2 linked regions of the Anolis sagrei genome follow. The protein of the gene in region 2 purifies or fractionates together with the protein of the main gene of each other region. This does not show direct contact. Links are inferred from orthologs where the notes say so. Each region holds a gene or a part of one and is shown on either strand. Other genes may lie near its edges.

Region 1 (16,415 bases), on a different chromosome or scaffold from region 2:
TGTATGTATTTTCTCTACCAACAATTTGTTTCAAAAGAATAATATAAATAATCCAATATTAAAATCAGTACATATCAACTGAGAGTAAATGCGCCTTAGGCTAGCCCTTTTGCTTCAAAACAACATGCCAAATCCCAGTATGATATAATCTCAATACATGACAATTGCTATATATAGTATTCAGTGGCCACACTTGCATTTGTCATTGAGGGTTTGTTCTGTTTTTTCAAAACACATTATGCAATAATACCTCCTGGCAAAACAGAATTGATCCTCTTTTTTAATGAATTGTTTACTATTCATTGCCCTTCTTCCCATAAAAGAGCTGTCATGTAGAAATGCACAATATGCACTCCATTATCCACAGATTTAATATCCACGGTTTCACTTATCTACTCTCCAAAAATTCCCATCCTCCAGGAAGTGTTTCTGGGTCATCCAATGCTACTCTATTGTATGCTCTCAGTCCATGTATAGTCAAAATATAGGGTTTGCTATCATCTAAAGTTTTAAGTATCCACAAGAAATCTTGGAACCTATGCACCATCGACACAAGGGTCATATGCAGAGTAAAGGTTTCCCTTGATATTAAGTCTAGTCATATCCGACTCTGGGTGATGGTGCTCATCTCAATTTCTAAGCCCAAGAGCTTAGGTTATGTGGCCAGCATGACTGCATGGAGAACCATTGCCTTCCTGCAGAAGTGGTACCTATTGATCTACTCATATTTGCATGTTTTCGAATTACTGGGTTGGCAGAAGCTGGGGCTAACAGTGGGAGCTCACCCCTGTCCCCAGATTCGAATAGCCAACCTTTCAGTCAGCAAGTTCAGCAGCTCAATGGTTTAACCCACCACACCATCAGGGGTCCTATATCACTAAGAAATGTTGGGCATTATTGTACAGTATGACCCTTGCACAGTATGACCCTATTGAATGTTGTATGCATCCCCACAAATGTATCTCAGAGATGGATAGCGCATTCAAACTCCCCTTTTGATTCCTGCTGCTCTTCTATCTTAGAGCAACACCCCCCCCCCTCTCCACTCCAACATAAAGGCTTTGGATTTATAAATCCATAAAGTGTAGGGGCTCACACATGATCCCATCAGTGCCACCTATATATGAAGCAGGTACTATTATTGTTGTTGTTTTCCTCTACACGTGACTCAAAACATTACTGTAATGTATATGATTAACTAACTTGGAAGTCCCTGAACAGACTGAGAAGTGGAGTGGGCAGATCAAAAGACAACCTGCCAAAAAGGAATTACCTAAAAGAATCCTCTACCTTGTGTGACTGTGGAGCAGAACAGACAACTCTGCATCTGTATGTTTGTCCGCAATGTCCTGCCTCATGTACAGAGGAAGAATTGATTGAAACTATAGACAATGCGGTGGCTGTTGCCCGTTTTTGGACAAAAGATATATTGCTGCTTGTGCTCCTTCTATTTTTATCAGTTTTATACTAATTCATGCAATGCTTTTGATACAAAATAAATAAACCAGATTAACTCTTCTAAATAGTAGTATTGGTGAAATATACTGATAAGTGTAAAATGCCTGTCTCTGAGCAAGTTAATCATCTTACATAGACATATCTACTTCACATATTCCTTTTAATGCAATTATGGGAAAGTTTTGTAATGAGCTGAGGTTGCACCCTTTCCCTTCCACACCATGAATCGTTGCTGGAACATGCTCTACAACAGTGATTCCCAAAGTGCAGTTTTCCAGATTTTGTAGACTTCAACTCCCAGAAGCCACAGCTGCTTTGGCTAAAGATCAGAGATTCTGGGAGCTGAAGTCCACAAATCACATCTAGTACTGAACTTAAGTCGCATCTACACTGGAGAATTAAACCAGCTTTAAAATCACTAGAGTTGAAGTTTGGTGAGGCACCGGCACTCTTAGACAGAGGAAACTACAATCTCCATGATCCTACAGCATGAGCCATGGTAGTTAAAGTGATGTCAAACTGCATTAATTTCAGTGCTGATGTACCTGGGATTCTCTGAGAGGGCTCTAGTGCAGTTCCCTGAACTGCGACACAAGAGATCTATAGCAACGAAAAGTACAAAGTACTTCACTGAACTACTCTGCCCAGAATTCCACTGGATTTAAATCCTCTGAAGTGAGCCTCATTTTTTCAGCCTGCATGTCTGTCCCAGTTATCTACAGATGTATCTACACTATAGAGGAGAGGAGAGGCCCTGCTCGTGATCCCACCCACGTCACAAGTGCGTTTGGTGGGGACACGGGACAGGGCCTTTTCTGTGGCGGCCCCCCGACTCTGGAACGCCCTCCCAAAGGATCTCAGACAGGCCCCCACTCTGGCCGTTTTCAGAAGGAATTTAAAAACTTGGCTGTTCCATTGTGCCTTCCCAGACTAGGAACCCCACCCCAAGTCCTAGTAGCACTTTAGCATAACTAATTGTCGCTGCACACCGCACTTTTAATCTTACGTGCCTCCTGCCATTTCAGCACTTTTAACCCTTGTACCCCAGTGCGCCGGCCGAACCAATTTTAATAAGGTCTTGATGTACTGTCATTGTCGTTATTTTGCTTATTATCTGATTTGCTTAGTTATTGTGGAGTTATGTTATTTTGTTTATTGTTTTGATTTGCTGTTATTGTGATGTTACGTTTTACTGTACTGTGTTTTGAGGCTTCGGCCTGTGTAAGCCGCATCGAGTCCTCCGGGAGATGCTAGCGGGGTACAAATAAAGTTAATAATAATAATAATAATAATAATAATAGAATGAACACAGTTTTACACCACTTTAATTGCTATGGCTCGATGCCGCATTATCACAGGATATCTACGCCCAACACTGTTGGAGAAATTATACTGTTTAGCCCGGGCAAGGGCAAACTTCGGAACTCCAGGTGTTTTGGACTTCAACTCCCACAATTCCTAACAGCTTACCGGCTGAAATCCAAAACATCTGGAGGGTTTAATTGGTATTGCACGACCTGATAGCCGCCTGGAAGTAGCAGCCAGCAATGAAAAGACCAAGGCATCTTCTGTTCAGATATCATCCAATGACTTAAATCAAGAAACAGCTTCCTAAGATCTGCGTTTATAGTCACAGGAACACCTCAGCAAGCGAGCGACAGTCCAAAAATGGCAGGCTTTTTTTTAACGTATCAGAAGAGAACCGAGGATACAGCTGCAATGTATTTAAAAAGCACAAAGTTTTAAAAACTTGGCATTATACTAAATGTCCTATGACCAAAAGCTGGCCACTTGGAGTGCTTCTGTCTGGTGTTGCTATAAGAAGATCCTCCATTGTGCATGTGGCAGGGCTCAGACTGCACTGTAAGAGATGGTCTGTGGTTTGCTGTTCTCCACACTCGCATGTCGTGGACTCCACTTTGTGGTCCCATTTCTTAAGGTTGGCTTTGCATCTCGTGGTGCCAAAGTGCAGTCTGTTCAGCGTCTTCCAAGTTGTTCAGTCTTCTGTGTGCCCAGGAGGGAGTCTCTCATTCAGTATTAGCCATGGGATGTTGATCCTGCCACTTTTGGACTCTTATTAGCCATGGGTTGTTGATCCTGCCACTTTTGGACACTTAACCTGCCACTTTTGCTTGATGAAGCTTTCCTGCGAGTATCTCCGTAGATCTTAGAAAACTGTTTATTGATTTAAGGCGTTGTCTGATATCTGAAGAGAGGATGGGCCGGAGATATCAATGCCTTGGTCCTTTCATTATTGGCTGCTACTTCCCAGCGGATGTCATGTAATGCAATACCAACTAAATAGTATAATTTCTCCCGGTTAAAACCCGGAACCTCGATCCGTGGCTGATACCAGATAAAGAAACTCCCTTCTGAGCACTCTTAGGTGACTTGGAAGGCGTTGAACAGACTGCGCTCTGTTATCACGAGATGTGGCGCCAATCTCAAGAAACAGGGCTTCAAAGTGGAGTCCATGACATGCAAGTGCTGAGAAGAGCAAACCACAGACCACTTACTACCATGTGGTCTGAGCCCTTACAGCAACACCAGCAGCACTTTGTCAAAGGAAATATATGCCAAATTTTTAACTTTGTGGTTTTTTATACATTACTAACCGTCCCCTGCCACATGTTGCTGTGGCCCAGTCTGTGTATGTGTATATGTGTGTGTGTATATTTGTGTATATATGTGTGCGTATATATGTGGTTTTGTGCATGTGTTGTTATGTATTTTTTGTTTTTTGGCTTTTTAAGTCTCTTCCGCTGTGTTTTTCAGTGTTTTTATGAGTGATGGTCACTTGCTGACCTGATAGGTGTATTGTGTCCAAATTTGGTGTCAATTCATCCAGTGGTTTTTGAGTTATGTTAATCCCACAAACATTACATTTTTATTTATATAGACTAGTTGTCCCCTGCCACACGTTGCTGTGGCCCAGTCTGTGTATATGTGTTGTGTATGTGTGTGTATATATATTTCTGATGTACCTTTGGAGAATCACCATATATTCCAGTCCTGTTGTTTCACCTACACAGTTTACCTCATATTGCACTTTCCCCCACCTTTTTGAAAGTCTAATTCAGTCTCCTACAAGCTCCTCCCCCACAAATGTACCTTTTCATTGCTATCTCATCCAGAGTTTTATCATTTTATGCTGTGCATTTGGCCCACCCACTATGTTTTGTTTTCCATTATGTTATTTTGTACTGTTTATTTTACTTGATTGGTTTATTTTATTGTGATGCTATTTTATTGTTTATATTTTATGTTGCTGCAATGTATCGCTTGGCTTGGCCTCATGTAAGCCGCTCCGAGTCCCCTTTGGGGAGATAGTGGCGGGGTATAAATAAAATTTATTATTACTATTATTAGTGATTTTGTGCATGCATTGTAATTTTTTTTTTACTTTTTAAGTCTCTTCCACTGTGTTTTTCAGTGTTTTTATGAGTGATGATCACTCCTTGGCCTGATATATGTATTATGTCCAAATTTGGTGTCAGTTCGTCAAGTGGTTTTTGAGTTATGTTAATCAATGCTAGTATGATAGCTGGGTCCAGAAGCTCTGAGCGTTATGCACATTCTGCAACGGCGGTTGTGAATCAGGGAAGAAGAGAGCAGCACACTGAGGGCGGGAATATATACTCTGTAGTTGCATTTGATGGAAAGATAGAAAGGAGGGGAGGGTTAGGATAAGGTTTAATGTTAGGGGTAGGGTAAGGGTTAGGATTAGGTTTAGTAGTCAGGTTTAGGGTTTGGGTCAGGGTTAGGGTTAAGGGTTCAGGTAAGGAACTCTGGAACTCCCTTCCACTGGAGATCAGAACTGCCCGTTCGATCTTAATGTTCAGGAAACGTGAAAACCTGGCTTTGGGGATTGGCATTCAACGAATGAGCCATGATCCTTTGATATGGATGGATGACGATGAATAATGACTTTGATGATGACTGACCACTGTAATCATATGATTGTATTTTTTGCCATTTTAATTGTTTCAATGTTTTAATGTTTTAGTGTGATTTAGAAATATGATGTTTTAATGACGGTCTGTAATATTGATGTTGGAAACCGGCCCGAGTCCCTTGAATGGAGGTGAGAAGACCGGTATACAAAACTACCAAATAAATAAATAAATAAATAAGGGTTTTACCATTTAAAAAAACCTCTTACATTCCTTCTATAATATCTGTGTTCTGGTCTGCGTTGCGCAAACAGCGTTATGTTCAGCGCTTCTGGATCCAGCTTTCATACTATTACATATTAATCCCACAAACCGAACATTACATATTTATTTATACAGAAGATTACTGTCTTCTCAATTTGCTTCTGACCTGGAAGACTATAGAGAAGGCATGGACAAACTTGGGCCCTCCAGGTATTTTGGACTTCAACTTCCACAATAACAATTATTATTATTATTATTATTATTATTATTATTAGGTAAAGGTAGTCCCCTGACATTAAGTCCAGTCATGTCTGACTCTAGGGTGTGGTGCTCATCTCCATTTCTAAGCCGAAGAGCCCGCGTTGTCCGTAGACACCTCCAAGGTCATGTGGCCGGCATGACTGCATGGAGCACTGTTACCTTCCCGCCGGAGCGGTACCTATTGATCTACTCACATTTGCATGTTTTCGAACTGCTAGGTTGGCAGAAGCTAGGGCTGACAGCGGAAGCTCACGCCGCTCTCCGGAATCGAACCTGCGACCTTTCGATCAACAAGCTAAGCAGCTCAGTGCTTTAACCCACTGCGCCACCGGGGGCTCCGGTGTATTATTATTATTATTACATTATTATTATTATTATTACATTATTATTATTATTATTATTATTACATGTAATAATTATTATTACATACATTTCTATCCCGCCCTTCTCCCCACAAGAGGGCTCAGGGCGGCCAATTCCTAACAGCCTGCTCTACAGTTTGGGAAACACCTCTAGTTTAGACAACACTCGCTCTAGGCATGCCAAATGCTCTGCTGATTGCTAACAGAGGGAGGAGGGTCCAGGGAAGGGTCTGGGGGAGAAGCTCGGGGAGGAGGGAAGGGGGGCGGATTCACCTTCCTGCAGGACGTGGGTGGGCTGGACGGGGCGGACCCGGAAGTGCCTGGCGCTCCACCCGGGGCTGGGCTGCCGCACCACCTCGCCGTCGGAGAGCCAGGTCACGGCCTCGTAGTTGTCCCCGCGGCGGAGGGCCGGGGCCTCGGCGCTGTGCACGGCCACCTCCGGGAACTGGTGCAGCCCGCCCGCGTGGTCGAAGTGCACGTGCGTGGCCACGGCCAGCAGGGGGCGCTGTCCCGCAAGGGGTTCTCCCGCCGGCGGCGCGGATTCCGCCCCCTTCTCCTCGGGGGCTCCGGGCCCCAAGAGCCCCGCCAAGCGGAGGTAATCCGGCAGGCTCCGCAGCCCCAGCCCGGTGTCGATGACCACGTCCCGCTGCGAGCCTCGCACCAGCCAGATGTTAGCCCGGTTCCCGGACTCGTAGAAGCGCTCCTGGATCCAGAAGATGCCGCCGCCCAGGGATTTGTGCGCGAACCACTCCAGCGCCGACATCGCCGCCGCCGCCGCCCAGACAAGCTCCCAAAGCCCGGCTACGGGAAGCGAGGGAAGGAGGAGGAGGAGGAGGAGTCGAGAAGGGGGCGGGGATGCTGCCAGGCGCGCTCCCGAGACACCCGTCTCCGCCCCCGGCCCTGCCCACTGCGGTAGCCCGGCTGCGAGAGAGGGGAGGGCGCTACACTGGAGTATTAATGCATGTTCATACCGCTTTAACTTCCCCTGGCTGTATGCTCTGGAATCCTGGAAACAGTGTATCCTGGAAACAGCACTCTTTGGCAGGGAAGGCTCCAGACTGTGTAAATTACTGCTGCAGCTGCAGGCATGGGCAAACGTCGGCCCTCCGGGTGTTTTGGACTTCAACTCCCACAATTCCTAACAGCCGGTAATTTAACTGCTTTGGCTCAATGCTGTGCAACCCTGGGAGGCACCAGCACTCTTTGGCAGGGAAGCCTCCAGACCTTCAGGCCTCACCAAACGAAGGCTCTCAGTATTCCATAGCACTGAGCGATGGCAGTTAAAGTGGTATTAACCTGTTTCTAATTGGGCAGTGTAGCTCAGGCATGGGCAAACTTCGGCCCTCCGGGTGTTTTGGACTTCCATCTCCCACAATTCCTAACAGGCTATTAGGCTGCATGTAAATATGCAAGCTGAGGAGCCTTCTAATCAAGGTGAAAGAAGAAAGCGCAAAAGCTGGGTTGCAGCTAAACATCAAACAAACCAAGATTATGGCAACAAGAATGATTGACAACTGGGAAATAGAGGGAGAAAATGTGGAGACTGTGACAGACTTTGTATTTCTAGGTGCAAAGATTACTGCAGATGCAGACTGTGGCCAGGAAATCAGAAGACGCTTACTTCTTGGGAGGAGAGCAATGTCCAGTCTCGATAAAATAGTGAAGAGTAGAGACATCACACTGGCAACAAAGATCCGCCTAGTCCAAGCCATGGTATTCCCTGTAGTCACCTACGGATGTGAGAGCTGGACCATAAGGAAGGCTGAACGGAAGAATATAGATGCTTTTAAGCTGTGGTGTTGGAAAGTTCTGAGAGTGCCTTGGATCCAACCAGTCCATCCTCCAGGAAATAAAGCCAGGCTGCTCACTGGAGGGAAGGATACTCGAGACAAAGTGGAAGTACTTTGGCCACATCATGAGGAGACAGGAAAGCCTAGAGAAGACAATGATGCTGGGGAAAGTGGAAGGCAAAAGGAAGAGGGGCCAACCAAGGGCAAGATGGATGGATGGATGGCATCCTTGAAGTGACTGGACTGACCTTGAAGGAGCTGGGGGTGGTGACGGCCGACAGGGAGCTCTGGCGTGGGCTGGTCCATGAGGTCACGAAGAGTCGGAGATGACTGAACGAATGAACAACAAAAATATGCAAGACATGTGGTGGTGCAGCGGGTTTAATAATAATAATAATAAAACTTTATTTGTACCCCGCTACCATTTCCCCAAGGGACTCGGTGCAGCTTACATGAGGCCGAACCCACAATACAACAATAAACAATAGCAACAGTAATACAAAACAATAAATAAACTCATAAGCAGAAAATATGCAATAAAGATTAACAATAACACAACGCATTTTAAAACCTATGGCTGGGCCAAATGTAATAATTAATTTTTTAAAATAATGCTGGGCATGACAAGGTGACATATAACTAGGGTAAATGTTTTGGAGAGAGATGAGATGTGCAGACAAACCTAGATCACTAATAAAGTGCGTTTGGGGACATATTGCTGGTTTAACTGCTAAGCTGATGAACTTGCTGACCGAAAGATAGGCAATTCAAATCTGGGAAGCAGGGTGAGCTCCCGCTATTAACCCCAGCTTCTGCCAATCTAGCAATTCAAAAACATGCAAGTGTGAATAGATAAATAGATACCGCTTCTGTGGGAAGGTAACAGTGCTCCATGCAGTCATGCCAGCTACATGACCTTAGAGGTGTCTACGGACAACACGGGCTCTTTGGCTTAGAAATGAAGATGAGTACCACCCTCCAGAGTCAGACACGACTACACTTAATCTCAAGGGGAAACTTGAGCAGCTGTAGATTTGGTATCCATGGGGGTCCTGAAAGCAAACCTCCTTATATTTATATATAATTGAAAATAAGTGTTTCATAGAGAGAGAGAGAGTATGCTACCCTTCATGTGAAGTATTAGGATGGTGTACTGGATAAATAATTCATTACTTAAAACCTAATGCTATACAATAAGTAAGGCTAACACCCCGCAGCCAAAACAACAGGGAGCCAATAAAAAATTTATTTTGCAAATGCTGACTGAAAGAGCCATTTTACTCTGCCACTGAAAAATCGTACATTAGACATCAATAATGCTGCCTCCATAATTATATAACACAGTTGTTACATAATTTTGATAAGGAAGGCAAAGAGAATGGGACTTTGGGGAAGATCCGAAGACACATGTTAGGTGCAGAGACACGTTAGCTGGTGCAGAGATGCTCTTCCATACTTTTCTATTATTTACTCTATTTATGCCCCACCTTCCCGTTAGGAAAAAAGTCACAAAGAGGGCCAATATCCCAGGATCTGATCCCAAGTTTTCTGTTGATCCCAAATTATCTGGCAGTGCGGACTCATATAATCCAGTTTAAAGCGGAAAATCTGGAATTAGATCCTGGGATATAGGTACTGTCTGGAAGGGCCCTTAAGACTGTGTATGATCCTATGGTATGAGAGACTATTTACGAAATTTGTTTTTCGCGCATAATGTACATTTATTTCTTATATATACTTTGTATGATGCTATATAGTATTGTTAGTTAAAAACATGTTTTCTTAAATATTGAAACAACTTTGTGACTTTTGGGCAACCCTGTATATTCTTGGAATATGTATATGCATGTGGGAGCTTCAACTCTGGGAATGTTATGCCTTGACAGAACAGTCTAAAGATTTATTTATTTATTTTACTACATTTATATACCATCCTTTTCAGCCCGCAGGCGACTCAGGGTGGTTTAGAGTCAACATCAAAGCATAAGAATACAATAAAAAAACAATTAAAATATTATAAACCCATGATAAAATCAATAAAAACATATTCACATAGATGTATGTCAGTTGCGTCCCACCACCTGCCAGACTTGATGCACAGGAATAAAAATATACACAATTCCTCTGGGGTATACTAGGTTTTACTGCACAGCTTCAAATAGTAAAACAGCTTGCTTGTAATTGACTACTTGTTGTTGTTTGCCTCCAAGTTTTTTTTCCTGATTTTTAGCAACAAATGCTTCCATAGAGTTGTGTTGGAAGACCTAGCAAATTCCTAGAGGAGATAGGTCCTCCAGCACAACTCCACAGTAATGTAATAGTGTTCAGTCATCTCTGTAGTTTCACGTAGCTGCAATCTGGTCATAAATGTATCCCCAGTAGTTATTTACCATGAAGGTCTTCCTAATGCTTAGGTGGAATCAGTTTTCCAGTTCCTCAGATTATTTTGCTTCATACAGGCATGTAGCCGGGGGGGGGGGGGGGGGGAGCTTGAGGGGCTTCAGCCCCCCCCCCCCCCCGAAATTCTCATGGTGGTCCGTGAGAAGGCCTTACTGGTAAATTATTTAAACTGTTATGTTTATTCATATCATGATCTGATCACCATGCTCAATATATCCCATATGCATGGGGGTATTGGGGTAATGATACAAAAGGTTTGCTAGGGTAGACCCTCTTTCACTCAGACTCAGCCTCCCCCCGCCCCCAAATCAAACTCAGCTTCCCCCGAATCAAAATCCTGGCTACGGGCCTGGCTTCATATAACTTTATATGGCTTCACATAGCTGTTCAAGGGAATGCATGGATGCCATCATCCAAATGTTATAAAGCTCAGTAACAATCCCTTAATGCCATTTTCTGCAAATGCTCCCAGTGTTTCCTAGAGAGCATGCCTTTATAGAGTGCAGTGGGGCTTCTGAATGCAAATCCATAGGTCTGTGTGTCAATCCTCCAAATATTTTATGTCAGGAACTTGTCAGTTCCAAATAAGTTCAAGCAGGATTTAAAATAACTCAAAGAATGTCAATCAGGATCAGGGTTTGAGCCTTTTGGAATTACTTTGTTGAGCATTGTGAATGTCAAGGCATAATATAAATACTGAACAAAATGTAATAATGTAATTGTTTCTTTGATCCTTTTAATCCTTTGCTAATAAATCATACAGTAGTGTGCTAAATAGTATATCCCCATCCTCAATGTTGCAACAGAAACTACTGAAAACTCCAATTCTAAAAATTGCTAAACAAAGAGAGCAGCCTAGACCTGGATTGAGCCACTTAAGATGTGGTGTGAATGCAGTGATTGAGTGGCCCACTTATCCTAACTAGTATCGTTCAGAATTTACAACCAGGGGTATGTTTTGTAGGATCTGAAATACTGCAAAAATTGAATATGTCATTTAGTGTCAAAGGTTTTAATGGCCAGAACTGCTGGGGTGCTGTATTGTTTCTGGGCTGTATGGCTGTGTTCTAACAGCATTTCTTCATGACATTTCACCTGCATCTGTGGCTGGCATCTTCAGAGGATCTGATGGTGGTGAAGCAAGTGTATATATACCCGTGGAATGTCCAGGGTGAGAAAAAGAACCAATGCCTATTGTGTGAAGGGTGCAATTAGCAAGCTTGATTTGGAAGTGCTTTGAGTGGGATCCATCCATTAGCATGTGAGTAACTGAGGAGATCTGCCTAGAAATAATCAGGACTTTGTTCCCTTGAAGTGTTTATTGCCTAGAGGCATCCTTTGTCTGGATGGTAGCTCACTAGCCCTTGATTGCTTGCTGCCTGGAGATCTCCTGTGTCTGGGTGGTGTTCATTAGTTGCTCTCTTGATTCTGGTGTTTCTCAATACTGGTAGCCAAGTGTTCATTTTCATGTTTTCTTCCTATCAGTTGAAATTGTCCATGTGCTTGTGGATTTCAATGGCTTCTCAGTGTAATCTGACAGAGTAGTTGAAGAGAGATTGAATGAAAGCTGTTTTTCCTCTAGTTATCCAAAATGGCTGAGTTGAGTCAAGGAAGCGACTGGTTTTGCTAGATGTGAAACATTACCTGAAGCAGTGTCTAAAGTAAGTACCTCCATTAGGATGAAGCACTCCACTTTTTTGTCAACTGGAAATAGTGGGAAAGTTAAGGGTGTATATATGTTTTTGTCGTTAAGATATGTGCCAACTTATAGCAACACCACACATTGCATAGGCCCTTTCACAGGCAAGACATTTTGGTATTGCCTTCCTCTGAAACATAGGCTACTGTTTGTACCACTACAGAGCAAATGAAAAAGAGCTAAAACCCAGAAACAGCAATATGTAAAGCAACTGCAAAGCAGGTACAGGCCATTGCCACTGCTCCACTTTTCAGTCAAGAGCTTCAGGTCTGCACCTTTCTTTTTAGTATAATACAAATATATTTTCTAACAGCAAATACAGTACCTTTATTCTTTTTACAGTGTAACTGCTTTGTTACCTTTACAGTCCTATGGGGCATGGCCAATTGCTTGGGTGTGTTTTACTACAAACTAGTATCCTGTATCTTTCTGGTGCTTTTAAAAAGGAATTGAGAACAGTTATTTCAATTATTTTGGAACTATGGAACTATGATAATAAGACATTATTTTTCAGGTCTTGTACTTATAACTGTAACTCATACTTTCAAGCAATAACTTTCTAAGCTTTGGTTCCATCTGTTTTTGTATGCACTTTTAAATCACTTGTTACTTTATGGCAACCTCATGAATTCCTCAGGCAAGAAATACTTAAGAGGTGGTTTTGCTAATACTTCCTCTGAAAAGTAGCCTACAGCATCTGGTATACACTGACAGTCTATTGTCTATTGTTACGTTTAACACTAGAATGGAACAAATTTCTGCAGAGTAGTCAAAATCTTCTGTAATGGTAGTGTGCTCTAGCGCATAAAGTAATTATAGTTTGGTACAGTAGGAGCTGGTGCATTTTCAGGTGCATGCAAGGCAAATGTTGGGCTCACAATTTAAGCTCCTGGCACACCCAGGCATGCAATCTTATACAAGTTGAGTAGCTCTTACGTGAAATGTTTGGGACTAGAAGTGTTCCTTTTCCCCCCAGATTTTAGAATAATGAGAACTTTTGGAGATGGGACCCAAGTCTAAATATGACATTCATTCATATTTCATATCCACATACCTGCAGGTGATTTTATACAAATATTTTAAATAATTTTGTGTATGGAAGTTTATGTACATTGCAACATTAAAGAGCAAAAGTATCATTATCTCACCCACCCATGGGGATAATTTTGGATTGTGGAGTATTTTGGAATTCTGGATAAGGAATACCCAACCTGTATAGGTTTTTTAAAAAAAATTAAAGCCAAGTGTGTTGAATACAACTTGTTCCCATGTAAATGTGTCCAACATTGCAGCTTGGTTTACATGATATTAGAACAGTTCTATGTGTTAACTTAATTCATACTGCTTTGGATAATCAAATACAAAGCTAGGCTTCTAGCACAAAGTGAAACCAAGTTCTTTCCTTCTATCCTTTGATGTTAATTAAATATGTCATAGCATTTTTTGTCCTTTAGTCCCCTGTTCCCCTGTCATGACAGGATATGTATGCTGTGAAGACTTTCAGAAAATGAAATAGAAGAAACATGAAAGTTTTTTTAAAAGGTACACTGCAGTATAAAACTAAGCTCCAAGATCCATGTGTGTAATAGTTTTATTACAGCAAAGAGGCACATAAATGTGGCCAGGTTCTAGAGATTTGTACAGTCAAGAACAAGCCCAGGGGTAGGTAAAATGAAATCCTTCAGATATTGGACTATACTGAGATAGTGTGAAAAATCAGTGTTAATGAATGCACTGATCAAAATATGTTTGGTTCCTCTACATAAGATAGACTGCTATCAAAAATAATTAAAAATTTCATTTTGCAAAGATTGGAGAAAATCCCCAAGACGGCTTGAAAGCAAGAGGGAAAAATGTAACATGCACATGAAGCAGCCGAAACCTTATCTCTTAGGGTTCATAATATTTGTTTTTGGGAGAAAAGTGGGACTGATAACTGTTATTTTGAGTAATATTGCCCAATATAACTTTTATTTTAGTTTTTCTGTGAAAGTGATGACTGAATGTTGAGTGGTAGAGGGAAAAGGGGAAAAAATGAAGTTTTCTTGCCTTAGCAAGATTTCTTTTAAATATTAGCATTTCAAAACCTTGCTTTTGGAAATGGTTCATCTGTAGTTCTGAAGTAACTGATGGTAGTGACCTTAGGGAAGCAATCAGTTAAATAATGCAGTATGCTCATAGCCTCTTTAAAAGCCCTCCATCCCATTAAATACACATTCATACAACCATCTTGTTTTTGTGATACAGATGTACTCAAAGGAATATAGTGCAATAAAAGCAGATACAGATTTTCTGTATTGTTGCTTAGTGGTTTCCACATAATAATTTAATTTATATTGTTTTCAAGTCTCCCTGCTTTACTAAATATGAAGCAGTGCCATTTTTATGGTCCTGTTTATATGAATCTGGAACAATGCAGGGTTAGGGTTTTTTTTTTTTTTTTTTACTGTAACAAGCAAAAAGCCCCAAATTCCAAAAACAGAACCAAAAGATAATGCAGATGTACTGAATAAGATAGAGGTATGGTGGGTTCTATATGTCATATTGACAATATGACTTAATGGTGAAAATAGGTGGAAAGATTAATAATTATAAAACATTTTGGAGTAAAATTAGAGAATGACTTGAGGGCTGTGTGGAATGATTTTATTTTATAAGAGACATGAGTGCAAAACAATATAGGGCTTTTCTAGAGTGGCCTTAAAAATGAGTTCTCAGAGTACAGAACTCTTTTGGTTTCCTGGTTAATGTACCTCCATATTGAGGATTATTTGTAATGATATCTTGTCTCTGCATTAGGGCTTTGAGGGATTTTTACTTTCAATTTGTTTTAAAAGTTCTATGATGCAAAACAACCTTTTCACAGATACATTATGGCAGCAGTTCTTAACCTGTGGTCCACAGACCCCCCCCCCCCCCAAATGGGAAGTTATGGTTTCCTTAAGCCCTGAAGAAATGTTATCAGCTTTTACAGTTAAAAAAAACGAAGGCTAGAAAGAAAGATACACATTGATCTCAAAAGGCAGGAGTCCTTCACTAGTGATAGAAGACATTCTCCAACCATTATTTTAATAACTTCAATTGTTTATGACATTTGAAGTGCTGACTCTCCCACTCCTCCAACTCCTGCTTTCAACTGGAAGTTCAAAGGATGTGGCAGACTTGTTGTTAATCTTTAACAGGAGTTGGAAAAAAGGAGATGAAGAAAAATCGGATGAGGAGGAAAAGCACAAAGAAAAGAACAAAGATGATTATGAAGAAAGGGAAGAGCCAGAGGAATAAGATGAAGAATATCATGTAGAGGTATTGTTTTTCTTATCTATCAGACCTGTCTGGAGCAAAGCTCAGCAATGCCCTGACACCTGGGAAGTGCACATAACCTCCAAAATCTGAGAAGACTGTACTTCTTTCACGCCTCTGCCCTTTTAAGAAGTTGCTTTTGTATTACATTTACTGGAAATGCCTCCACTTGCTCACTAAGATCTTTGGGGTACAATTTCATCAGTTTCCTGATTATATGTTTTAAGTCCGGGGTGGCTGGTCTTTTAACAAAACAAACAAGCAAATCCAGAAGTGTCTGGTTTTCCATACTTTTAAATCAAAGGAAATATTAATCAACGGAAACTTTGCTTTTAAAACCATCTGTTCTGTATTTTCAGTATTTCATAGACGGTATTCAGAACTGAGATGCTGGAAGCTAAAGGTCTTTTTGGTAATTTATAATGCTCTATTGCTATAGTTCTAGTACAACTTTGTTCACAAGTAAATTGCATTTAAATCAATACAATTTGATAAGAAAGTAAAATATGATTAGATGGATGTTGTTGTTGTTCATTCGTTCAGTCATTTCCAACTATTTGTGACCTCATGGACCAGCCCACGCCAGAGCTCCCTGTCGGTTGTCACCACCCCCAGCTCCTTCAAGGTCAATCCAGTCACTTCAAGGATACCATCCATCCATCTTGCCCTTGGTTGGCCCCTCTTCCTTTTTCCTTTCATTTTCCCCAGAATAATTGTCTTCTTTAAGCTTTCCTTTCTTCTCATGATGTGGCCAAAGTACTTCATCTTTGCCTCTAATATCCTTCCCTCCAATGAGCAGTCGGGCTTTATTTCCTGAATGGGGAATACCATTGCTTTTACTATGCGGATCTTTGTTGCAAGTGTGATGTCTCTACTCTTCACTATTTTATCAAGATTGGTCATTGCTCTCCTCCCAAGAAGTAAGCGTCTCCTGATTTCCTGGCTGCAGTCTGCGTCTGCAATAATCTTTGCACCTAGAAATACAAAG
Region 2 (16,268 bases):
TAATATGTAGTAATAATAAAAATGCAATAATAATATAATTCAGTAATAATAATGTAATAATAATAATATAATGCAGTAATAATAAAAATGCAATAATAATAATATAATTCAATAATAATAATACAATGCAGCAATAATACAGTAATAATAATGTAATAATAATAATATAATGCAGTAATAATAAAAATGCAATAATAATAATATGATTCAGTAATAATACAATGCAGCAATAATAATAATATAATAACAGTAATAACAATGCAATAATAATAATATAATACAGCAATAATAATGCAAAAATATAATGCAGTAATAATAATAGTGCAATAATAATAATAATATTTGGTTGCCCTGAAAGGTTGTTTTTTTCAGAGCTGATGGTCAAATTATTATTATTAGTAGTAGTAGTAGTAGTAGCAGTAGCAGTATTATTTGTATTATTATTATTATTTGTAGTATTTATATTATTATTATTATTATTATTATTATTAATTCTAATTGGACATTCTGGAAGATGACTCCCAGGGCTCAGTGCTATGGAATGATGGGATCTGTAGTTCTTTGGCAAAGAAGGAGAAATCTCCATCGCACGGAGCCATGGCAGTCCAAGTGGCGCCAAACTGGGTTAATTCCCCAGTGCAGACACACCCAACAGCCTTACCTTCCTGAGCATCTCGTTGTCCTGGACGTTGTTGGGCTCATGGGAGCTGATCTCCCCCTTCAAGGTGTATTCGTAGAACTTGCCGCTGAAGTTGACCAGCAAGGTGGCTGGACTGGTTTGGACTGGACAGCTCAGGGTCACGTTGTTGATGTCGCTGGGGATGTGGATGCCGTAGCGGAGGACTACACCCACCAGCACACCTGCACACAAGCAAGCACAGGGAAGGTTGTTGTTGTTATTCACAATGCATGCAGACAGTCAACATAGAAGCATAGAACCCTAGAGCTGGAAGGGGCTCCTAAAGGGCATCCAGTCCAACCCCCTTTTACCATGAAGGAAAAGCACAATCGAAGCATCTCCAACAGATGGCCATCCAGCCCTTGCTTAATAATAACAATAACAATAATAGAACGACCATCATCATCATCAAACCCTACTGCTGGAAATGTCCCCTAGAGGCCATCCAATTCAATCCCATTCTGCCTTTTTTTTGTGTCAGGAGCGACTTGAGAAACTGCAAGTCGCTTCTGGTGTGAGAGAATTGATCATCTGCAAGGACATTGCCCAGGGACGTCCAGATGTTTTGATGTTTTACCATCTTGTGGGAGGCTTTTCTCATGTCCCTGAATGGGAGCTGGAGCTGACAGAGGGAGCTCATCCGTGCGTGTGATCCAATACAACAGCCAGCAGAGTGTCTGCTGTGGACTCACCTTGTTGTGTTTCTAATAATAATAATAATAATAATAATAATAACATCACACAGTCCTAGAGACTTGGGAAGTGTCCAACATGTGATCCAATCCAACAGCCAGCAAAGTGATCTTGTCTGCTGTGGACTCATCTTGTTGTGTTTCAAATAATAATAATAATAATAATAATAAATAAATAAATAAAAAATAATATCTACAGAGACACTCGCTGGAACACCTCAGCAAGCGAGAGTCCAAAAGTGGCAGGCTAAAACTCAGAACCTCAACCAATGGCTGATACCAAATGAGAGACTCCCCCCTGGGCACACAGAGGACTGGACGACTTGGAAGGCGCTGAACAGACTGCGCTCTGGCACCACGAGATGCAGAGCCAACCTTCAGAAATGGGGCCACAAAGTGGAATCCACAACATGCGAGTGTGGAGAAGAGCAAACCACTGACCACCTGCTGCAATGCAACCAGAGCTCTGCTACATGCACAATGGAGGACCTTCTTGCGGCAACCCCAGAGGCACTCCAAGTGGACAGCATCTGGTCAAAGGACATTTAATCAACTACCAAGCTTGCAAACTTTGTGTTTTGTCTGTTTGTTTGTTTGTTTTGTTAAAAATGTAATACAAATGTCTGGTTGCTCCTGACATAATAAATAAATATGGGGGACCCTGTCGAAGGACTTACTGATTGTAGCTGAACTATAAATCCCAGCAACTACAACTCCCAAATGACAAAATCAATCCCTCCTCAGCCTCAAATTTGGGCATATCGGGTATTTGTGCCAAATTTCGTCCAGTGAATGAAAATACATCCTGCATATCAGATATTTACATGACGATTACTAACGGTAGCAAAATTACAGTTATGAAGTAGCAATGGAAACAATCTTGTGGTTGGTGATCACCACAACATGAGGAACTGTATTGAGGGGTCGTGGTATTCGGAAGGTTGAGAAACACTGATGTAGATTAAGACATTTGTCATGGCACCACAGACACAGCACTTTGTGGATTACATTTTCGGCTGGATGGACAATTTTCATGGATCAAAAGAAAATTGTTGTTGTTGTTGTTGTGTGCCTTGAAGTTTCCAGTCGGTTGGAACTCTAAGACAATGGTTCTCAACCTTCCTAATGCCGCGACCCCTTAATACAGATCCTCATGTTGTGTTGACCCCCAACCATAAAATTGTTTTCATTGCTACATCATAACAGTCATCTTACTACTGTTATAAATCATAATGTAAATATCTGATATGCAGGATGAATTTTCATTCACTGGACCAAACTGGGCACAAATACCCAATACACCCAAATGTGAACGCTAGTGGGGTTGGGCAAGGATTGATTTTGTAATTTGGGAGTTGTAGTTGCTGGGATTTATAGTTCACTTATAATCAAAGAGCATTCTGAACTCCACCAGCGATGGATTTGAACCAAACTTGGCTCCCATGACCAATGGAAAACACTGGAAGGGTTTGATGGGAATTGACCTTGAGTTTAGGAGTTGTAGTTCACCTATATCCAGAGAGCACTGTGGACTCATGCAACAGTGGATCTGTACCAAAATTGGCATGAATACTCAATGTGCCCAAATGTGAACATTGGTGGAGTCTGGGGAAAATAGATCTTGACATTTGGGAGTTGCTGGGATTTATAGTTCATTACAATCAAAGAACATTCTGAACTCCACCAACGATAGAATTGGCTCAAACTTCCTACATGAAATCCCCATGACTATCAGAAAATACTGTGTTTTCTTATGGTCTTTGGCGACCCCTCTGACACCCCCTCACGATCCCCTCAGCGGTCCCGACCCCCAAGTTGAGAAACACTGCTCTAAGATGTCTTGAGACCCAGTTTCAATGGAAATCTCCATTTCGTGCTGCTTTTAGCCTCCTTCCAATTGAGCAACCGGCTTTCTCAGATTTCTCAATTCTATTCTTGCAATGCTTTCTTCAAGAAGAAGCGAGTACCTACTCAGGAAACTGGAGAGGAAGGAGAGGCATTCCTGTGAATTTCCTATTTACTAAAGACGCAGGAGGGGAACCGATACGTAACAATACAGAATGGGTTGAGACTCAATGATGATATTCATTGAAAAACTATCACAAAATGTGCTGCAGGATGTCCCTTCTGCAAGATCAAAGTTTTTGCAGTTTCATAAACTTTCCCCATGTTTTAATGATAGAATTATGCTCTTACTGCCTATTACAGGGAAAACCAACTGATCCCTAATCCATCTAAAACACAGACATGCGCCTTTCACCTTAAGAACAGACAAGCATCCCGAGCTCTGAGGATTATCACCTGGGAAGGGATCCCACTGGAGCATTGCAACACACCCAAATACCTGGGAGTCACTTTGGACCGTTCTCTGACCTACAAGAAGCACTGCCTGAACATCAAGCAAAAAGTGGGCGCTAGAAACAACATCATACGAAAGCTGACTGGCACAACCTGGGGATCACAACCAGACACAGTGAAGACATTTGCCCTTGCGCTAGGCTACTCTGCTGCTGAGTATGCATGCCCAGTGTGGAACACATCTCACCACACTAAAATAGTAGATGTGGTGCTTAATAAGACATGCCACATTATCACAGGGTGTCTGCGCCCCACACCACTGGAGAAATTACACTGCTTAGCCGGTATTGCACCACCTGACATCCGCCGGGAAGTAGCAGCCAATAGTGAAAGGACCAAGGCAGAGACATCTCCAGCTCATCCCCTGTTTGGGTATCAGCCAGCACGTCAACGACTTAAATCAAGACATAGTTTTCTTCGATCTACAGAGACACTCGCTGGAACACCCCAGCAAGCGAGAGTCCAAAAGTGGCAGGCCCAAACCCAGCACCTCAATCCATGGGTGATACCAGATGAGAGACTCCCTCCTGGGCACACAGAAGACTGGGCGACTTGGAAGGCGCTGAACAGACTGCGCTCTGGCACCACGAGATGCAGAGCGAATCTTAAGAAATGGGGCTACAGGGTGGAATCCTCGGCATGCGAGTGCGGAGAAGAACAAACCACTGACCACCTGTTGCAATGCACCCTGAGCCCCGCCACATGCACAATGGAGGACCTTCTTGTGGCAACCCCAGAGGCACTCCAAGTGGCCAGATACTGGTCAAAGGACATTTAACCAACTACCAAGTTTGCAAAATCTGTGTGTGTGTTTTTTTTTCTTTTTCTTTTTAATCTGTGTGGGTTTTTTTGCTCTGTTATACAATGGTATGGTTGCTGATGACATGATAAATAATAATAATAATAATAATTATTATTATTATTATTACTCTTCTATTTTAGTTGCCAATCCCTTTATAGATGGAAGGTACTTCCATTGTTTTCCACTTTTTGGCTTTCAGAGTTTCACTGTCTTCTTCACCCAGGAAACATATTTAACATCCAAAGGTGTTAGATCAATTCAAGGTGCAGGTTCTTACCTTCAAAGCCCTGAACGGTTTGGGACCTGCCTACCTACGTGATCACATCTCTGTGTATGAACCCACATGATCTCTTCGATCATCTGGAGAGGCCTTGCTCACGCTCCCACCTCCATCGCAGGCATGATTGGTGGGGACGAGGGAGAGGGCTTTTTCGGTGGTGGCCCCTCGACTCTGGAACTCATTTCCCAAGGACATCGGGGATGCCCCAACTCTGGCAATTTTTAGGAGGAGCCTGAAAACGTGCCTTTCCAGAATAATGGATTTCTCAGCAATATACCCTCAAAATGCACTTTATTATTCATTTAGGATTGATTGATTTGCATGCCTTGTCCCCTGCGAAAATATCCATCCCAGTTATTATTATTATTATTATTATTATTATTATTATTATTATTATTATTTACCTTACTTATATACCGCTGTTCTCAGCCCGAAGGCGACTCACAGCGGTTCACAACAATAGAAACAGCAAAAATTCAAAGCAACAGTATAAAAACAGTTAACAACCTAACACATTACACAATTAATAAACAATTACTACAATAACCATTCATTATCGACTCATCATCAAAAACATGACCCAGATTCGTCATCCATTGTTCCATTCCAGTGTTCATTAACCAATCATTGCACTAATTATTTGAACGCCTGCTCTTCACTTTTTTGCGGAATACCATTAGAGATGGTGCTAGTCTAATGTCCGTAGGAAGGGCGTTCCACAGCCGAGGAGCCACCACCGAAAAGGCCCTATCTCTTGTCCCCGCCAGCCGTGCTTGAGAAGCAGGCGGGATCGAGAGCAGGGTCTCCCCGGACGATCTCAAAGTCCTGGTGGGTTCATAGGCAGAGATGCGGTCGGATTGGTAGCTTGGGCTGGAACCGTTTAGGGCTTTAAAGGCCAACACCAGCACTTTGAATTCAGCCCAGTAGCAGATCGGTAGCCAGTGGAGTTGGCGCAACAGGGGGGTTGTATGCTCCCTGCGCTCCACTCCTGTTAAAATCATGGCTGCCGAGCGCTGGACTAGTTGGAGCTTCCGAGCCGTCTTCAAAGGCAACCCCACGTAGAGAGCGTTGCAGTAGTCTAAACGGGATGTAACCAGAGCGTGGACTACTGTGGCCAAGTCAGACTTCCCAAGGTACGGGCGCAGCTATATCCTACCTTGCTCATGCCCAGCATTATTTTTTAAATTTGAATTTTACATTTGGCCCAGCCATAGGTTTTAAATGCTTGTTGTGTTGCTGTACTGCTTATATTTTATTTTACTTTTGTTTATGAGATGTATTTTAACTGTTTTGTACTGTTTGTTTGCTATTGTTTTATTATTGATGTGTTGTGGGCTCGGCCTCATGTAAGCCGCACCGAGTCCCTTGGGGAGATGGTAGCGGGCTATAAATAATAATAATAATAATAATTATTATTATTATTATTATTATTATTATTATTATCTATTTCTGAACACCACTATACCAAATATGCTGTGGGTACCAGATAATGGCTGGTAAAGGCATCCTTATTCTGTTCTATTCTATTCCTTCCTTCCTTCCTCTTCTCCGTTTTGTAGCATTGCTCCCTGAAGATGAAAGGAGTAAACCATCAAGACACTGCTGAGCAAAGATGTCCCCAAAGGTGATTAATAAATGGCACACAACGGTTTGGAATCCTATAGCAACCTTATGCTTCAATGTAAACAAGCTTTGTTTACAAAATCATCAAAGATATTACCCATCACATTAACCTTATCATGGGGTTTTCTGAACTTCAAGATAGAGGGGGCCATTCCGATCTCCAGTGAAAGGGAGTTCCAGAGTTGAGGGGCCACCACCGAGAAGGCCCTGTCCCTCGTCCCCACCAGACGCGATTGTGAGGCCGGTGGGCCCCTCCAGACGTCTTAGCAATTTTGATGGTTCATAGGGGAGAATACGTTCGGACAGGTAAACTGGGCCAGATTCGTTTAGGGCTTTATAGGTTAACACCAGCACTTTGAATAGTGCTCGGAAGCTAACTGGCAGCCAGTGGAGCTGGCGCAACAGAGGAGTAGTATGCTCCCTGTACCCCACTCTTGTTAGCAAACTGGCTGCCACACATTGGACTAATTGGAGCTTCCAGGCAGTCTTCAAAGGCAACCCCACGTAGAGAGCGTAGCAGTAATCTAAACGGGATGTAACCAAAGCTCACCCTTATCCAGAGAACACTGAACCCAGCTGATAACAGATCTGGACAAAGTATTATTATTAGTAGTAGTAGTAGTAATAGTAGTAGTAGTATAAGACTCCCAACCCTTTGTTGGTGCCCAGAGCTTTTGGAGAAGGCCTCTGCAAGGTGATGGGAGGATAGTTCACCCTTATGCAGAGAACACTCAACCGAGCTGATAACAGATCTGGACCAAGTAGTATTAGTAGTTCACCCTTATCCAGAGAACACTCAACCCAGCTGATGACAGATCTTATTATTAGTAGTATTAGTATTAGACTCCCAACCTGTTGTTGGTGCCCAGAGCTTTTGGAGAAGGCCTCTGCAAGGTGATGGGAGGGTAGTTCACCCTTATCCAGAGAACACTGAACCCAGCTGATAACAAATCTGGACCAAGTATTATTATTATTATTAGTAGTAGTAGTAGTAGTATAAGACTCCCAACCCCTAGGGAGGACTCAGACTGGGGGGGGGGGGTTGGGGGGACTGATTCAACAGGAAGGAAGTTGTAGTAATCTGGGAGTTGTAGTTCACCCTTGTCCAGAGAACACTCAACCAAGCTGATAACAGATCTGGACCAAGTATTATTATTAGTAGTATTAGTATTAGTATTAGACTCCCAAACCCTTGTTGGTGCCCAAAGCTTTTGGAGAAGGCCTCTGCAAGGTGATGGGAGTTGTAGTTCACCCTTGTCCAGAGAACACTGAACCCAGCTGATAACAGATCTGGACCAAGTAGTATTCGTATTAGTATAAGACTCCCAACCCCTTGTTGATGCCCAGAGCTTTTGGAGAAGGCGATGGGAGGGTAGTTCACCCTTATCCAGAGAACACTGAATCCAGCTGATAAGAGATCTGGACCAAGTATTCTTAGTATTAGTATTAGTATAAGACTCCCAACCCCTTGTGGGTGCCCAGAGCTTTTGGAGAAGGCCTCTGCAAGGTGATGGGAGGGTAGTTCACCCTTATCCAGAGAACACTCAACCCAGCTGATGACAGATCTTATTATTAGTGGTATTAGTATTAGTATTAGACTCCCAACCTGTTGTTGGTGCCCAGAGCTTTTGGAGAAGGCCTCTGCAAGGTGATGGGAGACTAGCTTACCAGTATCCAGAGAACACTGAACCCAGCTGATAATAGATCTGCACCAAGTATTAGTAGTAGTAGTAGTAGTAGTAGTATAAGACTCCCAACCCCTTGTTGGTGCCCAGAGCTTTTGGAGAAGGCCTCTGCAAGGTGATAGGAGTTGTAGTTCACCCTTATCCAGAGAACACTGAATCGAGCTGATGACAGATCTGGACCAAGTATTATTAGTATTAGTATTAGACTCCCAACCCCTTGTTGAGGTTTTGGAGAAGGCCTCTGCAAGGTGGTGGGAGGGTCCTTCTGGGTCTGGAGGGGTCCCTCCCCGACTGGAGCCTTCCCCACAGAGATACAGATACCCCCACGCCCCTTTGGACCCACCGTAGATCATGGCGAGGCCCGTCTCGTGGAGGAAGCGTGCGCGTCGGTGCTTGAAGAGCCAGATGGTGAGGATGGTGAGGGTGAGGAGGAGGATGAAGATGAGCAGGTTGGCGCTGTCCTGCCGGTGGCTGGCCTCGGCCGCCTTCTCCGACACGATCTCCTCCTCCAGGGCCACCGGCGGGCCCGAGCCGGACCCCCCGCAGACCCCCAAGAGCAGCAGCAGCTCCAGCAGGGGCAGCCCCGTCGCCAAAGGGGGAGCCCTCCGGGGGGCGGCAGGACCCTGGCCCCAAAGCAAGGCCATGGCTAGGGCTCGGGCTCTGGATACAGCGATGGCTGCTGCGCCTCCTCCTCCTCCTGGCTCCTCCTCTTCCTCCACTTCCTCCTCCTCCTCGAGGCTGGGGAGAAGGGAAGCAAGCTCTCCCAGGGTTGGAAGGGACCCCCAAAGGCCATCCAGCCCAACCCCCTTCTGCCAAGCACCATCCAAGCCCACCCAACAGATGGCCATCCAGCCTCACAGGCGTTAGATGAGATGGAGAGAAATAATAAGGCCACAGGATGCTAGAGTTAAAGGGGACCCCCAAAGGCCATCCAGCCCAACCCCCTTCTGCCAAGCACCATCCAAGCCCTCCCAACAGATGGCCATCCAGCCTCACAGGCATTAGATGAGATGGAGAGAAATAATAAGGCCACAGGATGCTAGAGTTAAAGGGGACCCCCAAAGGCCATCCAGCCCAACCCCCTTCTGCCTCTATGCAGGGAAAGCACCATCAAAGCACCCCTGACAGGTGGCCATCCAGCCTCACAGGCATTAGATTAGATGGAGAGAAGTAATAAGGCCACAGGATCCTAGAGTTAAAGGGGACCCCAAAGGCCATCCAGTCCAACCCCCTTCTGCCTCCATGCAGGGAAAGCACCATCAAAGCACCCCTGACAGGTGGCCATCCAGCCTCGCAGGCATTAGATGAGATGGAGAGAAATAATAAGGCCACAGGATGCTAGAGTTAAAGGGGACCCCCAAAGGCCACCCAGCCCAACCCCCTTCTGCCAAGCACCATCCAAGCCCACCCAACAGATGGCCATCCAGCCTCACAGGCATTAGATTAGATGGAGAGAAATAATAAGGCCACAGGATCCTAGGGTTAAAGGGGACTCCCAAAGGCCATCCAGCCCAACCCCCTTCTGCCTCCATGTAGGGAAAGCACCATCAAAGCATCCCCGACAGGTGGCCAGCCAGCATCACAAATATAAGATTAGATGGGGAATGATGACAGGTCTAGAGAATCCTAGACGGAGAGAAATAATAGTCCTATGGGATCCTAGACTTAAAATGGACCACAAAGGCCATCCAGTTCAAACCCCCCCCCCCCCCCCGCATCCATGCAGGGAAAACTCCGTCATAGCACCCCGACAAATGACCACCCAGCATCATAGACATTAGATTAGATGGAGAGAAGTAACAGGGCTAGAGAATCCGAGATGGAGAGAAATAATAGGGCTATAGGATGCTAGAGTTGAAAGAGTACCCCAAGTACCATCCCTTCTGCCTTCATGAAGGAAAAACACAATCGACGCACCCCTGACAGATGGCCATCCAGCCTCATAGACATTTAATTAGATGGAGAGAAATAATAGGGCTATAGGATCCTAGAGATGGGAGGGACCCTCAAAGGCCACCCAGTCTAGCCCCATTCTGACTTCATGCAGGAAAAGCACCAGTTTGGGGACTTACATTCCAAAACAAGAACAGCTTGATCAAAATGCTTGGCACCAGAAGTGTTTGGGATTCCTCTGGATGTTTAAATGTTTTACAATACTTGCATATACGGAACAAGCACCCCATTTTCGAAATGCTTGGCACCCAAAGTGTTTGGGATTGTGTTGGGTGTTTACATGTTTTGAAACCTTTTACATAGGTACACCGAATAGCACTTGTCCAGAATGTTTGGGAACAGATGCATTTTGGATTCCGGGTTGTTTATTGTTATTGTTATTAAGGCTTTGAAGGGTAGATGTTTACTAAAACACACACAGAGAGAAGAAGCAGTGCTGTTGGCCTGGAGACATATTCCAAAGTTCATGTTACGATCTTGGTTTTATGAGGCTGGATTTTGTAGAGTTTTCCTGAAACAGACTAAACAGTGCAATTTACCCAGCAGCTAAGGATTTGCATGAGCCTATTTTGACCCTTAAGACTGCAGCTTGAAACCTTTGAATTAAACCCTATTCATTGCAAAGGCCTTTGCAGTCTCCAGACCCAAAATACATCGAATATCAATTGAGTTTATTTCCCGAAATGGGGCTCTTTAAGGGATTTTCTGCTTCTGGTAAAAGCTGTCAGGACTATTGGACTATTTGGAAGTCACTTGCTCTCTCTGCTACTGGGTCGTTGAGAGTTTTCCGGGCTATCTGGCCATGTTCCAGAAGCATTCTCTCCTGACATACATTTCTCCCACATCTATGGCAGGCATCCTCAGAGATTGAGAGATCTGTTGGAAATTAGGCAAGTGGGATGTGTGTGTGTGTGTGTGTATGAATATCCAGGGTGGGAGAAAGAACTCTTGTCTGTTGGAGGCAGGTGTGAATGTTGCATACCTTGATTAGCATTGAATTGCCACCTTGATTGAATGGCCTTGCAGCATCAAAGCCTGACTGATTGCTGCTTGGGGGAACCCTTTGTTAGAAGGTGTTAGCTGGCCCTGATTGTTTCCTGTCTGGAATTCCCTGCTTTTTTAATGTTGCTCTTTATTTACTGTCCTGGTTCCCCCAGGCAGGAAGCCACTAGGCTTTGAAGCTGCAAGGCTATACAATGCTAACCGAGTTGGCAAATTGCAACATTTGCACTGGCCTCAAACAGACAAGAGTTCTTTCTCCCAACATGGACATTCCCCAGGTATATAAACCTCACTTGCCTAGTTTCCAACTGACCTCATATCCTCTGAGGATGCCTGCCATAGATGTGGGTGAAATGTCAGGAGACCTGATAGCTATGTATAAGTATGTGAGAGGAAGTCATAGGGATGGGGGAGCAAGCTTGTTTTCTGCTTCCGTGGAGACTAGGATGCGGAACAATGGCTTCAAACTGCAATAAAAGAGATTCCATCTGAACATTAGGAAGAACTTCCTAACTGTGAGAGCTGTTCAGCAGTGGAACTCTCTGCCCCAGAGTGTGGTAGAGGCTCCTACTTTTGAGACTTTTAAACAGAGGCTGGATGGCCATCTGTAGGGTGTGTTTTGAATACGATTTTCCTGCTTCTTGGCCGAATGGGGTTGAACTGGATGGCCCATGAGGTCTCTTCGCACTCTATGATTCTAATGATTCTGGAACATGGCCATACAGCCCGGAAAACTCACAGCAACCCAGTCATTGCAGCCGTGAAAGCCTTCAACAACATTCTGCCACTGTTGCTTTGAAAGTAAGGTTTGCTCTTAATTTGATTTATAGATGTTAATCTAAGTTTCAGTAACATTCCTTTGGTTTGCCATTGAACCCTCTGCACAGAAAGCAGTTCGAAACCCACTGCAAGAAATGGTAGGTAGCTTTGTTTAGAATGAGAGGAGTGTGACAAGGCATAGATTATGGCACAATGCAGGGCTTGTTTTTCCACCACAGAGTAATATTTTCCTCCTTCAGAAGAAAGGAAGAAATGCATGGGTTTTTGGGGTTTTTTTTTTTGTTTAGTTAGTTTGTTTTTTGCCAAGAGGACAAATGCCTTCAAAGCAATTATCTGGGTGCATCTGAACTGTGGAATTTATGCAGTTTGACACCACTTTAGCCATCAATGCTAAGAAAGCTGGAGAGCTGCAGTTTTACAAGATCTTTCACTTTGGTCCTTCACCAAACTACAGATCCCAGGTTTCCATAAAGGCAGTTAAAGAGGTGTCAAACGACATTCTTTCTACAGTGTAGAATTATTATTATTATTATTATTACTGACAGAAAAACATAGTATGGCACAGCAAATTAGATATATATGCTGGATTTCGTATCACTAAATCACAAGTCGAACACTTCCCAAGTGTCTAGGACTGTGTGATGTATTATTGTTGTTGTTGTCAGTTCTGTCTTCTTTCCATTGGTAAAAGGCACCCGACTTGATCAAGGCTACATTTTGCAATTTATCTCCATTGCAGCGCTTTAGTAAAATCGATCCAACACCCATTTTTCAGTATTTCCCCATTTTTATTATGAGTTTCAATTCTTATACTTGTTTTCAATTAACATGATGATCAATCATCCCCTGCCTTGGAAACACTGTCTACATTCCATGTTTATAATTGTGGGTAGCTTTGATGTCGAATCCGCCCCAAACCCCTGCTTTCCAGCTGATCTGACCAGCTGCAGGGAGTTCCGCAGTTCCTGGATGCCAGCTCTGATGAAATGTGCCCCAGCAGCAGCCTCAACCAAGGATTCTCTGCAACCTTGAGCTTTCTCCTTTTGCTTTTCTCCCCAGCCCAAACATTGTAACAAAACCCCTAATAAAGACTAATTGAATTGTAACGTTCACCTCTCCAAAGTGATACACTGTGTCTATTTCCTGACTCACAAGTATCAAATGCATGAACTTATCCTTTTTTGGGCCGTGGGCAGCGGCGGGCCCGCCTGGGATGCCTTCCAGGCATCGCAGGGAGGCTGAATCTGCGTTTCTTTAAACCGCGGATACGGAAACCACTCGGGCCACCATATCCGCGAGTTAACCGACCAACTCCATTTTGGTGCCATATTTTTCCTAGCTTAATTCTAACATTTTCTAACATTTTATATTTATACATTAATATTAATAATTAATTAATAATATTATTCTTAAATTTTAATTATTACATTTGGCTCTGCCATAGGTTTTTAACATCGTTGTGTTACTGCTATTGTTTATTGTTTTTTTTTTGTTATGAGTTTTTGTTTTATTGTCTGTATTAATTGTTGTTATTGCTTTTATCATTGATGCAGTGTGGTCTCAGCCTCATGTAAGCCGCACCAAGTCCCTCGGGAGATGGTTGCGGAGTATAAATAAAGTTTATTATTATTATTATTACTATTATTATTAGTATATTGTATTATTATATTCTATTATATTATAATATTATTAATATTATATGTTTCTATTATATATTATATTATTAGCATAGTACAATATTAGGATTATATATTATATTGTACAATACCATTAGAATGCAATATTATTAGTAATATTACAATATTATTAATAATATTAATAATATTATTAGTAATATTACAATATTAATAATATTAGTAATAATAATAATAATAATAATAATAATATTTTTTGTCGTGTCAGGAGCATCCTGTTGTGAGAGAATTGGCCGTCTGCAGGGACGTTGCCCAGGGGACGCCCGGATGATTTTGATGTTTTATCACCCTTGTTGGAGGCTTCTCTCATGTCCCCGCATGAGGAGCTGGAGCTGATAGAGGGAGCTCATCCGCCTCTCCCCGGATTCGAACCTGTGACCTGTTGGTCTTCAGTCCTGCTGGCACAGGGATTTAACCTACTGCGCCACCGGGGGCTCCAATATTAATAATATTAATATTGTAATTTACTAATAATATTAATAATATTGTTAGAAATATTACAATATTAATAATATTATTGTAATATTACAATATTAATATTAGTGTAATATTACAAATCAACAAATCTATTAACAAATATTACAAATCAATAAATCTATTAACATATCAATAAGCTAACGCTTTGAAAAATCAACATAATGGTATCTGGCTTTCAAAACAGGAGTGAGCAAGTAAACAAAGTGATGTCAGGTTCTGTCTCCTTTAAGAGAAGCCACGCCCATTCCTGTCTGTTACCTGTTAAGCTCCTCCCTCTTTTCCCAGCTTCCGCGCAGGCGCCTTGGCGTCGTATCGTCTCAGCGGGCCGAGCGAAGGCGAGAAGAGGCTCCGCCCCCTTTTGCGTCAGCACGCATTTCCCCCTTTCCCTTTGCCTCCGCGTGCGCATGCGCGGTCGGGATCCTTGGCTGCTGGAGGGAGGGCGGACGATGGCGGCGGCCTCGCTGTGGAAAGGGCTCGTCGGGGTCGGGCTCTTCGCCTTGGCACACGCGGCCTTCTCCGCCGCCCAGCGTGAGTCCCGGGCCAACCCCTTCCCCTCTATTCGCCGCTTTCTCCCTCAGCCACTTGACAGAAAAATCTAGGCAGGCTTCAGGCCTTCACTTCCTTGGCTACGGGTGCCGAGAAGGGACTTTTCGGGGCTTTCTTGGCCTTATTGCTTTTGCAGGCCGCTTTGACGAGGCAGGAAGAACTACAACTCTCAGACTAACATTAGCATTGAAGCAAAGCAGTTCCACTTGGGATATAGGCTAGGAATGCCTCTTTCGGGGCCACTTTAGGTGATAATTTGTGAATTAAGGCCTGCCATCTTCGTGATGAATAGTACTGGCATTCAGAATAGGAACAATCCAATATAAATTCAATTTTATGTAAGCATAATACTTCTATTTATATGAACAATGTTTATATTTATATGAATACTAGCCGCCCCCTGCCACGCTTTGCTGTGGCCCAGTCTGGTGATCTGGAATATAAAGTAATGAGAAAGTGTTGGTTTCTAATATATGTAATGTCTTGATGCTTGTGGGTAAACAGTATTTCTTGCTGTTACTTTGTCAGTGTTGATATGGAGATTGTCTGGTTTGCCCACCCTGGAATATGCAACATATCATTGTCCTTTAGGGTTCCCTTTCAAATCTATGATACTATATCTGTGAGTGTGTGTGAATCATATCTATCTATCTATCTTTATGACTGGATGACTCTTTGTCAGGAGGGCTTTAATTATGTTTTCTTGCCCTGATGGAGTTGGATTGGATGGCCTTAAGTATTTTCTGTTGGTCATGGGGGTTCTGTGTGGGAAGTTTGCCCCATTTCTGTCATTCGTGGGGTTCAGAATGCTCTTTGATTGTATGTGAACTGTGAATCCCAGTGACTACAATTCCCAAATGGCAAGGTCTATTTCCCCCAAATGCCATCTGTGTTCACATTTGGGTGTATTGAGTGCTTGTGCCAAGTTTGGTCCAGATCCATCATTGTTTGGGTCCACAGTGCTCTCTAGATGTAGGTGAACTACAATTCCCAAACTCAAGGTCAGTGCCCACCAAACCCTTCTAGTGTTTTCTGTTGGTCATGGGAGTCCTATGTGCCAAGTTTTGGTTCAACTCCATCATTGGTGGAGTTCAGAATGCTCTTTGATTATAGGTGAACTATAAACCCCAGCAACTACAACTCCCAAACGACAAACTCATTTTTTGTGAGTGAAGGACATACATTGGGTTGTTAGGTGTATTCCCCCAGTGGTTTTTGAGTTCCGTTAGTCCCACAAATGAACATTACATTTTTATTTATATAGATATAGGTTGACTTCTCCAACTCATATCCATATATTTTTTATGATAGTACCAATTAGGATATGACATTTATAACCCAGGAACAAATAATGTGTTACATAGTGATATTCCTCTCCAATTCATTCCCCATTAACTTTCTTTTGCAGATCGTTCCTATATGAGACTAACGGAAAAGGAAGATGAAACCTTGCCAATAGATGTAAGTTTTAGGAAGTTTGCCTGTGATCCGTAGGATGACATATTTGTGTATAAAGTGGTTTGAATGCACTGGAATCATTGAACTAATAGAACCCAAGGATTAATTTGACTGGAGCCCGTTGTGTTGGGTTGTGCCAATATGTCTGAATGCGTAACTTTTTGTTGTGCTTTATTGTGCTTCCACAAATGGAATCTGAAGTGCAGCACCTCCTCATTCTTTCTTTACTCGAATGTACA

Evidence for each region.
Region 1: the proteins of SLC9A6 (region 2) and MBLAC2 purify together in Homo sapiens (co-immunoprecipitation; 3 studies listed by BioGRID and IntAct, counting the BioPlex papers as one, with this or other methods). This does not show direct contact. The link is inferred for Anolis sagrei from reciprocal best matches to the Homo sapiens genes SLC9A6 and MBLAC2.

What each region holds. Positions count from the first base shown.
Region 1 is NC_090022.1:256,251,988-256,268,402, reverse strand, and holds the start of MBLAC2 (acyl-coenzyme A thioesterase MBLAC2), read right to left. Parts: upstream 7,065-16,415; 5' UTR 7,002-7,064; coding exon 6,512-7,001; intron 1-6,511. UniProt on the Homo sapiens protein: Acyl-CoA thioesterases are a group of enzymes that catalyze the hydrolysis of acyl-CoAs to the free fatty acid and coenzyme A (CoASH), providing the potential to regulate intracellular levels of acyl-CoAs, free fatty acids and CoASH.
Region 2 is NC_090030.1:24,588,302-24,604,569, reverse strand, and holds the start of SLC9A6 (sodium/hydrogen exchanger 6), read right to left. Parts: upstream 8,826-16,268; 5' UTR 8,764-8,825; coding exon 8,463-8,763; intron 862-8,462; coding exon 662-861; intron 1-661. Other genes in the region: MMGT1 (ER membrane protein complex subunit 5), read left to right, coding at 14,430-14,553, 15,980-16,032. UniProt on the Homo sapiens protein: Endosomal Na(+), K(+)/H(+) antiporter. Mediates the electroneutral exchange of endosomal luminal H(+) for a cytosolic Na(+) or K(+).